3 linked regions of the Macaca mulatta genome follow. The protein of the gene in region 2 interacts with the protein of the main gene of each other region in a pairwise test. Links are inferred from orthologs where the notes say so. Each region holds a gene or a part of one and is shown on either strand. Other genes may lie near its edges.

Region 1 (4,658 bases), on a different chromosome or scaffold from region 2:
CAAGGAGACTGAGACCAGCCTGGGCAACATAATGAGACCCTGTCTCTACAAAAACACTTTAAAAAAAAAAATGAGCTGGATGTGGTGGTGTGTGCCTGTAGTCCTAGCTACTTGGGAGGCTGAGGCAGGAAGATCACTTGAGCCCAGAAGTCTGGAGTTTACAGTGAGCTGTGATTGCACCATTGGACTCCAGCCTGGGCAACAGAGGAAGACTGTTTTTTTTTATTTTAAAAAAAAAAAAAGGCAAGGTAAAGATTGCGTGGCAGGCAATTCTACATGAGGCTGGAGCTATAGATGTGAGAAACATACTTAGAAATAAATTCAAGACAGGTTCAAATTGCCAGGAACAAGAATCCAAGGAGTTACAGATCAAAGAGAAAGAAAAGATATAGGGTAAAGGAGTAGGGATAATAAAGCCAATAGTATAGAAACCATCAAGCCAAGAGAAAATGCAATGTGGACAAAGGAGAAAACTTGAAGTAAGTCCTTGATAGTATCAAAGGATGTATGCAACCAAAACTGAAGGCTGAGAACAGACCATGAAGGTCTGGCAAGTCATTCAGTGGGAGGGTGGGTAGGCACAAGCTGAGAATGCAGATTCAAAAATGTAAAGAACTCTAATATTGCTTTTAGGCTTTCACTGTGCCAACACTACTTATAAAGAATTACTGTTCGTGGGCCAGGCGTGGTGGCTCATGCCTGTAATCCCAGCACTTTGGGAGGCCAAGGAGGGTGGATCATGACGTCAGGAAATCAAGACCATCCTGGCTAACACGGTGAAACCCCGTCGCTACTAAAAATACAAAAAATTAGCCAGGCGTGGTGGCACGTGCCTGTAGTCCCAGGAGGCCACTCAGTAGGCTGAGGCAGGAGAATCCCTCAAACCCAGGAGGTGGAGGTTATAGTGAGCTGAGACTGCGCCACTGCACTCCAGGCCAGGCAACAGAGAGACACTCTGTCTCAAAAAAAAAAAAAAAAAATTACTGTTCATGATGACACGTGAAATGGAATACTATTAATTAATTAATTATGCTGGGACAACAGGCATAAATGAGGAGTATCCTGAGCAAACTTGGCCATATAGTCACTGTATGATAGAAAAAACAGTTAATTTATTCAAGTTTGAGCTGAGTTTCCTCAGGACATTGAAAAGCAATGTCTTAGATTTAAAACATTTTCCTCCTGCAACTAGGTCTTTTTGCCAAATGTTAACTGGAATTACTAATTATTGGCACTACTGAGCTATATTTCTTAAAAAAAAAAAAATAGAGGCCAAAAAAGGACAAAGTATATAAACATACATTAAGCTCAACTTTGGATTCCACGAGGCGAGAATGATCTGCACAGTCCACCAGAAAGACAATCCCATTAATTGCTGGGAGATAATTTTTCCAAACCCGACGTGCTAAAAAACAAAGTTTGTAGTTGCATCAGTAAAAAATATACATTGTAAAAATGAATAACCTAATGGTCTTAAAATGGACAAATCTTGGTCAGGTTTCAGTAAGATTAGACTCTATGGATTTCTCCAAGTTCTGGCCAGTATTAATTTAGAACAGAGGATGCAAACTAATGGTCCACGAGTTGAACTTGATTTTTGTAAATTTGAAAATCAGAGTTTCCACCTTTCTTGAAAAACTGCAACATCTGGCAACCCCATGCCTACTTATCCACATGACAACTATCAGCAGGAACTAAGCAGTGGCTACCCCTTCAGATGATGTCTGAACACTTTTGCTTGACAAAATGTCCCTGCTGTCTTACAGTCAGCCAATTTTACTCACTTAAATGACTTGCCTTGCCCCTGGAGCCAAGTTGAATTTGCAACCTCTGAGTTAAAACATCAGGATACAAATTACTTGTCCATGTAACTTTAGTCCCAGTTAGTTTCTAGCCAACTTGTGTGTAGGTGTCTTGACACACTCCTCTGCTTAGCCCTTAGGGAGACTGGGCCTGACAAGTGGTTCAAGGCCCCAGGCCAGTTATCTCAGCCTACCATATTTAACCCAGCATGCCTTAGAAATATTACTTGTTTTTTGCTTGTGACATGAAACGATAAAGGCTGGGAAGCAGTGATTTAATTTTACTATCATTTCTAAGCCATTCATTTCTAGCCCTTGCAATAGAATGAATAACGAAGCATCTCTACATCAGTTATTAATGGTTACCTTTAAAGAGTAGAGTTAGGAAAAAGAGGTTGAAGGAACTTTCCATTTTACTTTCTGTAGTTCTATACCGATTTTGTTATATCAAATCTGCTCTCCTTTTATAAGTTAAAATTTTTAAGTTATACAAAAAAAAAAAGGAACCTCCAGATGTACAGTATTTTAGTAACTTCTATAAAATGGTGGCTAGGTTATTAGGTAAAAGTGTTTCTGTTTAGTAGATTTTCCTCAGTCAAAGAAACAAAACTAAATACATCAATACATTTCCCTTCTTATTTTAACAAAACCTGAAACCTAAATTTATCACACCAAACAATCAACAATTCCCAGTTCAGGTATATAAAACCATCTGGTGTCTGTTCCTTCTGCATTCTCCAGATGGTCTAGGTTCAGTCGTATCTTGCTCTGAATTTAAATTTGTAAGCAGTTACAAATCCTTTTGTGGAAAAGCAGAAAGGACACCATATACCCATTCTTACCCAAATGAAAAAAAATACAAGCTCCTTACATAAAAAAGGAAACAAAATCATTTCTAATCCCTCCATCAAAACACACCCCTTGTCAATATTTTGGTATTTTCTTCCAGTCTTTTTTCTTTACTGGTATTTTATGTGATTATGATCATAATATACATGATTTTTTAGGGCATAAATATTAAATAAATTAATTAAAATGTAATTATATGTTAATGAAATAACTGACTATAAAATTATTAGGCTTAACTACTAGAAATGACCAATGTTGTATTTTACTACACATTGTTTTAAAACTGTATTAGGGCCGGGCGCGGTGGCTCAAGCCTGTAATCCCAGCACTTTGGGAGGCCGAGGCGGGTGGATCACGAGGTCAGGAGATCGAGACTATCCTGGCTAACATGGTGAAACCCCGTCTCTACTAAAATACAAAAAACTAGCCGGGCGTGGTGGCGGGCGCCTGTAGTCTCAGCTACTTGGGAGGCTGAGGCGGGAGAATGGCGTGAACCCAGGAGGCGGAGCTTGCAGTGAGCCGAGATCACGCCACTGCACTCCAGCCTGGGAGACACAGTGAGACTCTGTCTCAAAAAAAAAAAAAAAAAAACAAAAAACTGTATTAGGCTGGGCACAATGGCTCACGCCCATAATCCCAGCACTTTGGGAGGCCAAGGCAGGTGGATTGCTTGAGCTCAGGAGTTCAAGACCAGCCTGGGCAACATGGCAGAAACCCAGTCTCTACAAAAAATAGGTGGGAGGATTGCTTAAGCCCAGGAAGTAGAGGTTGCAGTATGCCAAGACTATGCCACTGCACTCCAGTCTGGGCAACAGAGCAAGACCCCATCTCAAAAAAAAGAAAAAAAAATGGTATTAGCTCAACCTAATGTTTCAAAATGAGATTTCTCCACTCAATGTAGTAACAAGTAAGTAAATCTGACAGAATCTCAATAGTTCCTTTTCCCTACCTTCCCAGAATGTTTATTCTCACATCTTAAATGTTTTACTCCTATACCTACTGTCTTGTCAAATGTGAACTGAGTGCCCATTAGACAAAGACGCCCATCCTGTATGTCTCTAAACACCTGATAGGAATCTGGTAGCCAAAGACATAGCCTGAGTAGGCAAAAAGCACTTCTAAGGAAAGCAAAAAGGTAGAAGGAAATGTTCTACCAACTGTCCCAAATGGATAGAATATACAAAATATCAACTTAGAGTAATCACACATAGTCACTGTACTACTTTTGCAACTTTTGACAAGTCTGAAATTACTTACAAATATTTAAGTTAAATTTCCTACATACTTTCACTCCATTGAATAAAGGATGCAAAAATGCTTGATAACTAAATATATGATACTGTATACCTGGTCAAGATGAAAAAATGGTATAAAAGAGATTATCAGGACAACTGACCAAAAAAAAGAAAAAAAAAGGAAATACAGATTGGATAAAAATAAAACTTTCTTGATTTGATAACTATTATGATTATATACAAGGAGATATCTTTGTTCTTAGAAAACGGCACTAAAGTATAAAAGAGTAAAGGGGCATGATATGCTCACAAACAGTTAATAAAAAGTAAGTATTAATATGTATTATGTAGGGAGGAGGAGACTAACAAATTTGGGCAAAAGGTATAGAAGAAAATACACTGGCTTAGAGCAAGCCTAGTTAAAATGATGAAATAATTACTCTTGTTGAGGCAATACCTATATCTTTTAACGTATTTTCTAGTTACCAGGTAAATTGCGTTAATAAGTAAAAACCTAGTAAAGATTAAAATGGCAAGATGCTGTCCTGCTTTGTAAAAATTTTCAGTCAAGATTTGAGTTGAGTTTGGCTTTATCAGGCAAATACTTAAAAGTTCATGAATAGTTATGCATTATAGCTAACTTTATACTAGCTCAATAGGGTAATATTGAAGTGGACTTCTGTGTATTTAACGCAACTTTAGACAAGTTTGAAATGAGTTTAAAAAAAATGAATAAAACAACTTCACTAAAGTAGTAAGATCCTAATTCTAA
Region 2 (3,697 bases):
ATGAGTTGTAAATAGTGATACTAATGAGAACAAAGTCTATGTGGCAGCCCGTATTCCTCTTACCATCAAAGGTTAAAAAACAAAAAGAAAAAACAAAACCTAATAATTGCAAGTGCCCTGAGCAGAATATATGGAAGATTAAGCAAGTTCTCTGAACAGAAACGTTTAAAAAATACAGCACTAAATAAGCAGTATGACTGCAAGAATGAACCCACCCAGCTCTCTGCAAGCATGCTGAGAGGGTAATGAAATTCGAGGAAAGTCAAGAAACTATTCTAGCTATTCTAAACCTATTCAAATGTTTTTGGTACACCCCAGAAAATGGTTTACAAAAATCATTAGTCCTGGTGAGCCTTAAATGTAAATGAATACTAGACAGCCAAAATGTGGGTTGATACCAGATTTTTTTTTTTTTAATTTGTGAAATGAAGGAAGTACTATTTTCAATGGGGTAAAAGAAAAATCAGGTATTTGTTTAGGTTAGTTGCAGCCATCCAAGTAAGAATATTTAAAAATTTCTCCCTACTTATAAAACTGTTTTTTTAAAGCACTTTAAAGATGCATTCAAAACCCACAAATGATATTTCAGATCTCTGGGAATGAAAGGTTTAAAAACTATGAAATACCCTTTCTGGGTTTGTACCAAACATTAAATCTTGATTTGATTTTGAATAGAAAAAAAAAAGTCATTCTGAAAATAACATTAATAACAACAATAATAAAATAATTGTTTAAAACAAAATCTTGCTCACATATATAAATGTCTTTATGGAAAACTCTCTCAATGAATCTGAAGAAAATTCTCAGAGTTTCTAAGAGCCTGCTAAGACCTGGCTTTTTGTGACAGATGTGGTAAAAAGACCAAAATGAATTTTCAAAGGAACATAACCTTATAAAATGGCCTAGAGTTTAGGCAGGTTAGAAAGAAATTTTGCTACATTTATTTATGCTCGTTCAGTCCCCCAAACCTTTCCCACAATGTTATTGGATAAAAACTGCAGGAATATCACACAAATTATAAACTCAATATGTGCAAATCGCAAGGTTCTTTAAAAGTTCATCTTAAAAAGAAAAACACTGGACAAAAATGAGTATTCTCTTCTCCATCCCTTTTCTCTCAGTTTCTCTGCCAACTCTGCATATGCCTTGAACTGATTCTCAGACATCAAAGTGAAAAGTGCCTCCCGTCAGGTAGTACTTGGTGGTCATTTATTGTCACATACTAGTTCATAATTCACATTCATCCCTTTAAACCACATTGAAACTTTCAATATCTTGCTCTTCAGCAATTCTGCAGAGCTGAAATGTAGTTACAGTGTTGAAAAAAAGAAAGCAACTTAGTTTTTTTTGTTTTTTTGTTTTTTGTTTTTCCCCAAAGAGTTTAAAGTGAGATACAGTACTTGTTGAATGAGAGACCAAGATGCTTGGTAATAAAGTGTGAACAGTATTTTTAAATGCTTAAAGATAGTAATATATGCTCATCTTCAAAATCTAATTCCTCATGTCACACTGGAATCTGAAAAAAAAAAAAAAGTGGCACCCGAGTTGTCCATAGTCATGAACTATAAACAGTACTAGAGTTCAAAGACAAAAAGATTTTGCAAACTCAACGTGAAGAGCTTCTGTGGCTCTCACTGAAGGGCAGTTTGCATCTACCTCTTGGGAGTGAAGTCAATGCAATAACCTGATTGGTTTACCTAACACTGCACAGAAACCAGCGTGGGTGTTCGCTCTCTCCCCTGCCCCCACCCCCAACCCCCCTTACCCCATGTGGGGCCATGACAGCAGGGGCTTCCCTGTCCACCACAACACCCCGGTGACATCGCTGCACTAGTAAAAAGCAGAAATGAAATCCCGCATGTGGCAGTTGCTCTTTAAAAAAAAAAAATATATCAGTGCAGTCAGGCCCCATAGGGGGAAATATATATCTATACAATTAAAAGTTGCTTTTATTGTAAAACAGGTTGGAGAGAAAAATGTTCTTTTAAATGGTTAACTTTCCAAATCTGCCGTCTGACGCGCCTCCGCGATGCCCTGAAGCTGGGTTCCTGATGTTGATTTTGCACATGGGAACCCCAGGAGGACACTGCTCTGAACACCCCGTCCCATGCCGATAGCAAGAGAGTGAGGCAGAGGGAGGCAGAGAAAAAGAGACCCTCACTCGCCGCCACAGCGCCTGTGCACCCCCACATGCATGCACCCCTGCACCCCTGCAGGACCCTTCCCACGGGACTTTTCTCCTGACACTAGCGGGAGTCAGCGCCCCTGGCTGCTTCTGGGCCGCTACAGAAAGCAGGCGCTGTGGAGCCCGGTTCCTTTCTTCCCCGGGGATGCGTGGAGCCCTGACCGCTCCTGCTGTGCCCTTCCTCCCGCCCGCTCACTGACAGACACTCGTGGAAAAAGCATATGCACCAGTCTCCTGCGACACACCTGCTGTAACTCTAATGACAAGGTTAGAACAGAAACCTAAAATAAGAGGATAACATGTAAATACTGTGTTATTTAGCCTACAGTACAGTAATCTGGATACAAATGATAAGGGAGAGCCACGTTTCCTTTCCCCCACGCTGCCTCTACTTGCCTACATTAGACCGGCCTTCAATGCAAATCTTAACCTCCTGAGGAATTAGAGAAGGCTTAGGAAGAGTCAAAGGTGGTTCGTCTTCTGACTTCTCCAGTTTGCGGCTCTCCGGCGCCGACCACCTCCTCTTCCTCGTGGCCGCGGGCTTGCTGGGTTCTATTTTGGTGAGGAAGGGCGCTGCAGGCAATCCCATTTTCTCTGGAAACTTCAGTTCGCCATTCTCAGAGAGCATCTGGGCACTCCCCTGGTTGATTCCGTTTTCCTGCTCGGCATACCTGTGTCTGCTGCCCGCCAGGCCGTCGGCCTTTGAGTGCTTCAGCAGGACGCTGGCGGGATCCACGGGCTGGCCCTTTTTAACAGAGCCGTTCTTCAGGTTCTTGAGGGTAAGCGAGATGCACACATCCCCAACTGAGAGTTTGGAACACGGCAAATCAAAGAGCTGGCTGGTTCTCTCCGGACAGCAGGATGACCAGCCCTGTCCAAACACAAAAAAAGGATACTCTACCAAAACTTCAACGCTGACCTGTGGAAACAGGGAGAGACAGAGAGAGGAAGGGGACAAATGAAAACATTTTATTCTTGTTTGATTTTATGCGCACACACACGTATGAACTCACACATACACACATAGACACACACAGGCCGAATGGGGGAAAAATGACTCAGTTTGCAAACCTCCCTCTCCCCCAGTCACACCCTATAAATGAGGCTCTTCAGTTTGGGTTGTACCTGTACTTACCATAGACAGAAGCCAGTGAAAAGACCATCAATATTCAAAATATTCCACCAAGTGTTAGCTCTATAGCTGGTCTCTGTTAGAACCAGTCAATCAAACCCCAGCAATGACAGAACACCCACTTAGCTTTCAGCACCGAGCTAGGCTCTGCGGGTGGCTCAGAAGCCCAGCATGGTCTTAGATTTTATGAGCTCAATGGACAGCTGTTATTATCATACAGGACACGACTAAACAGGGATCAGAGTGAGACTGTAGGTGAGTTCCAAGAGGCAGGCATGATGTGTTTATCATTGAGTCCCCAGCCCCTGAAAGGATGCTTGGTGGCAGGGCACAGTGGCTCATGCCTGTAATCCCAGCACTTTGGGAGGCCAAGGTGGGTG
Region 3 (3,827 bases), on a different chromosome or scaffold from region 2:
ACGCTCCTGAAGGAGAAGCCAGCCATGGAAAGAAAGGTGCCAGGTGGTCAGGCGAGAGCCTCAAGGGCAAAGGCCTTGAGCAGGTGGGAATCCTGATATCCTGATTTGTTCCTGTTTGGCTGAACCGTTCCTGAGAATGCTGGAGAGGCCAGCAGGCAACAAAACCCAGCAAGGCCTTTTGTCGTGAGGGCATTAGGGAGCTGGAGGGATTTTGAGCAGCAGAGGGACATAGGTTGTGTTCGTGTTTGAGGACCAGCTCTCTGGTCCCTGTGTGGATTTCGAGGACCAGACTCAGAGAAGGGGCTGAGGGAGGTAGGGAAGGGAGGGGGCTTGGATCATTGCAGGAGCTGTGGGGATTCCAGAAATTTTGAGGGGACGGAGAAGTAGGAGACAAGCAAGGATCCCTAGCCTGGAACCAGTGCCCAAGTTCTGAGTCCTCCAGGAGCCACAGGCAGCCTTAAGCCCGGTCCCCATACACAGGCTGAAGTGGCAGTTCCAGCGGCTATCCCTGCGGCAGAGGCTGAGGCCGAGGTGACGCTGCGGGAGCTCCAGGAGGCCCTGGAGGAGGAGGTGCTCACCCGGCAGAGCCTGAGCCGGGAGATGGAGGCCATCCGCATGGCCAACCAGAACTTTGCCAGGTCGGCGTTGGGGCCGGGGCGCAGGGCCCATGGCAACCCTTGGCAGCCCCTCTCGTCCGACTCGGACGGACTCACTGTCCTTACCTCCCCACAGTCAACTACGCGAGGCAGAGGCTCGGAACCGGGACCTAGAGGCGCACGTACGGCAGTTGCAGGAGCGGATGGAGTTGCTGCGGGCAGAGGGAGCCACAGGCGAGTCCCTCATGTGTCCCCTTCCCCGAAGGGCCGGGAGGAGGTGGGCCGTCTGCTCTGCGGGGCACGTATAGACACCTGGAGGAGGGAAGGGACCCATGCTGGGGCACGCCGCGCCACCGCCCTCCTTCGCCCCTCCACGCGCCCTATGCCTCTTTCTTCTCCTTCCAGCTGTCACGGGGGTCCCCAGTCCCCGGGCCACGGATCCACCTTCCCATGTAAGACCCCTCTCTTTCCCCTGCCTCAGACCTGCTGCCCACTCTACAGATCCCCTCCCTGGCTCCTGGTCTCCCCGTCCAGATACAGGGCTCACCCTACGTCTTTGCAACTTTGGAGGACAGATGCCCTTCGTTCAGCCCCAGATCTCCCTCCGTTCAAGGCTCACCAGATTCCCTCCGGGATCTCCCTAGATAACCTCCCCGGCCTCGATTCCCCTCGCTCTCTCTCGCCCCACTGCTGAGGGCTGGGCTGGGCTCCGATCGGGTCACCTGTCCCTTCTCTCTCCAGCTAGATGGCCCCCCGGCCGTGGCTCTGGGCCAGTGCCCGCTGGTGGGGCCAGGCCCCATGCACCGCCGCCACCTGCTGCTCCCTGCCAGGGTACGTCCGGCTGCCCACGCCCCCCTCCGCCGCCGCGCCCCTCGCTCCACCCGCCCTGTGCCACCCGCTTAGCTGCGCATTTGCAGGGCTGGGCCCACGGCGGGAGGGCGGATCCGCGGGGAGCCAATCAACACAGGCCGCTAAGAAGCAGCCAATGACGAGTTCAGACGGGATTAGAGGCGTGCGAGTGGACTAACAGCTGCCGGCTGTTGGGGCGGGGGTGGGGAGCAGGGAGGCGTGCGGGCCCACCTATGGGCGTAGGCGGGGCGAGTCCCAGGAGCCAATCAGAGGCCCATGCCGGGTGTTAACCTCGCCCTCTCCCCGCAGGTCCCTAGGCCTGGCCTATCGGAGGCGCTTTCCCTGCTCCTGTTCGCCGTTGCTCTGTCTCGTGCCGCCGCCCTGGGCTGCGCTGGGTTGGTGGTCCACGCCGGCCAACTCACCGCAGTCTGGCGTCGCCCGGGAGCCGCTCGCGCTCCCTGAACCCTAGAACTGTCTTCGACTCCGGGGCCCCGTTGAAAGACTGAGCGCCCGGGGCACGGCAAAGAAGCCGCGCCCACCGCCTGCCAGTTCACACCGCTCCGAGCTTGGGTCTCCGCCCAGCTCCAGTCCTGTGATCCAGGCCCGCCCCCTAGCGGCTGGGGAGGGAGGGGCCGGGTTCGCGGCCGGCGAACGGGGCTCGAGGGGGCCTTGTAGCCGGGAATGCTGCTGCTGCTGCTGCTGGTGGGGGATCGCAGACCACTTCTTTCGGCCAGGCTGAGGCCCTGACGTGGATGGGCAAACGACAGGCCTGCGAAGGCAGCAAGCCGGGTCGTCCGTGTTCCACTTTCCACGCACCCCCACCTACCGTCGGTTCGCAAACTGCAAATCCTCCCTTGTGCATGACGCCCTGCTCTCTGGGGAGCGTCTGGCGCGACCTCTGCCCGCTTACTCGGGAAATTTGCTTTTGCCAAACCCGCTTATTCGGGGATCCCGCGCCCCCCTCCTCACGTGCGCTGCTCTCGGAGCCCGAGCCGGCTCTGACTGCTTCGGCGGTTTGGATATTTATTGACCTCGTCCTCCGACTCGCTGACAGGCTGCAGGACCCCGAACACCCCAATCCACGTTTTGGATGCACTGAGACCCCGATATTCCTCGGTATTTATTGTCTGTCCCCACCTAGGACCCCACCCCCGACCCTCGCGAATAAAAGGCCCTCCATCTGCCCAAAGTTCTGGACTCCGCAGTCCGCGGTTTGCGTAGTGGGCAGGAGGTTGCGGAGCGGGCCAATCCGAAGGCGAGTGGAGGCGGCCGAAGGTCTGGGAGGAGCTAGCGGGATGCGAAGCGGACGAATCAAGGTTGGGGGAGGGAAAGCTACGGGGCGGGGCCTTGGCGTCCGGCCAATAGGAGGGCGAATGGGCCACCCGGAGGCACCGCCCCGGCCCAGCTGTGGCCCAGCTGTGCCACTGAGCGTCGAGAAGAGGGGGGATGGGCTGGCAGCGCGCGGCCATCCTCCTTCCACTGCGCCTGCGCACGCCACGCGCATCCGCTCCGGGGACGCAAGCTCGAGAAAAGTTGCTGCAAACTTTCTAGCCCGTTCCCCGCCCCTCCTCCAGGCCAGACCCGCCCCCCCGCGGAGCCGGGAATTCCGAGGGGCGGAGCGCAGGCCGAGATGGGGAATGTGGGGGCCTGCAGAGGACCCTGGAGACGGAGGCGTGCAGAAGCTCAGTCTCGGGGCGGAGGCTTCGCGCCCTTAGCCCTCCTGGACGGCCCGTTACCTTCTGCATTGTCCCGATGGGGAAACTGAGGCCCTGAGCCAGAAGCACACGCTGGGGGGGAGGCAGAAAGCGCGGCCAGAGGCGGAGGGAAAACAAAGGGAGAATCACAGACAGACGGGAGGGGAACGGACACACACACGGGGACAGAGACCCGGGTCTCGCCTTCCCGGCGTGGGGCGCAGTCGGCCAGGGAGAAGATCGAGAACAGCGGGGAGTGGGGGCGAAAAGGGGGAACAGGCGGGGGAGGGGGCTGGGGAAAGCCCAAGGGAGGAAGAGAAGGAGGGAGGAACTTCCCAAAGTTGCAAAACATGGCTACCTTGCCTGCGGAGCCGAGCGCGGGGCCGGCGGCCGGGGGGGAGGCGGTGGCGGCGGCGGCGGCGGCGACCGAAGAGGAGGAGGAGGAAGCGCGCCAGCTCTTGCAGACTTTGCAGGCGGCCGAGGGTGAGGCGGCGGCGGCGGCCGGGGCCGGGGCGGGCGAAGCGGCTGCGGGAGCGGAGGGCCCGGGATCCCCGGGCGTCCCCGGGTCGCCCCCCGAGGCCGCTGCCGAACCGCCCACGGGCCTCCGCTTCTCGCCCGAGCAGGTGGCGTGCGTCTGCGAGGCGCTGCTCCAGGCGGGCCACGCCGGCCGCTTGAGCCGCTTCTTGGG

Evidence for each region.
Region 1: the proteins of ATXN1 (region 2) and SAR1A interact in binary tests that used the Homo sapiens proteins (3 or more experiments, as listed by UniProt). The link is inferred for Macaca mulatta from reciprocal best matches to the Homo sapiens genes ATXN1 and SAR1A.
Region 3: the proteins of ATXN1 (region 2) and DMPK interact in binary tests that used the Homo sapiens proteins (3 or more experiments, as listed by UniProt). The link is inferred for Macaca mulatta from reciprocal best matches to the Homo sapiens genes ATXN1 and DMPK.

The regions. Positions count from the first base shown.
Region 1 is NC_133414.1:79,473,370-79,478,027, reverse strand, and holds part of SAR1A (small COPII coat GTPase SAR1A), read right to left. Parts: intron 1,406-4,658; coding exon 1,302-1,405; intron 1-1,301. UniProt on the Homo sapiens protein: Small GTPase that cycles between an active GTP-bound and an inactive GDP-bound state and mainly functions in vesicle-mediated endoplasmic reticulum (ER) to Golgi transport.
Region 2 is NC_133409.1:166,777,036-166,780,732, reverse strand, and holds the end of ATXN1 (ataxin-1), read right to left. Parts: intron 3,105-3,697; coding exon 2,574-3,104; 3' UTR 922-2,573; downstream 1-921. UniProt on the Homo sapiens protein: Chromatin-binding factor that repress Notch signaling in the absence of Notch intracellular domain by acting as a CBF1 corepressor. Binds to the HEY promoter and might assist, along with NCOR2, RBPJ-mediated repression. Binds RNA in vitro.
Region 3 is NC_133424.1:58,320,537-58,324,363, reverse strand, and holds the end of DMPK (myotonin-protein kinase), read left to right. Parts: intron 1-480; coding exon 481-638; intron 639-732; coding exon 733-830; intron 831-1,001; coding exon 1,002-1,048; intron 1,049-1,337; coding exon 1,338-1,427; intron 1,428-1,754; coding exon 1,755-1,907; coding exon of another isoform or gene 1,908-1,914; 3' UTR 1,915-2,631; downstream 2,632-3,827. Other genes in the region: homeobox protein SIX5, read left to right, coding at 3,490-3,827. UniProt on the Homo sapiens protein: Non-receptor serine/threonine protein kinase which is necessary for the maintenance of skeletal muscle structure and function.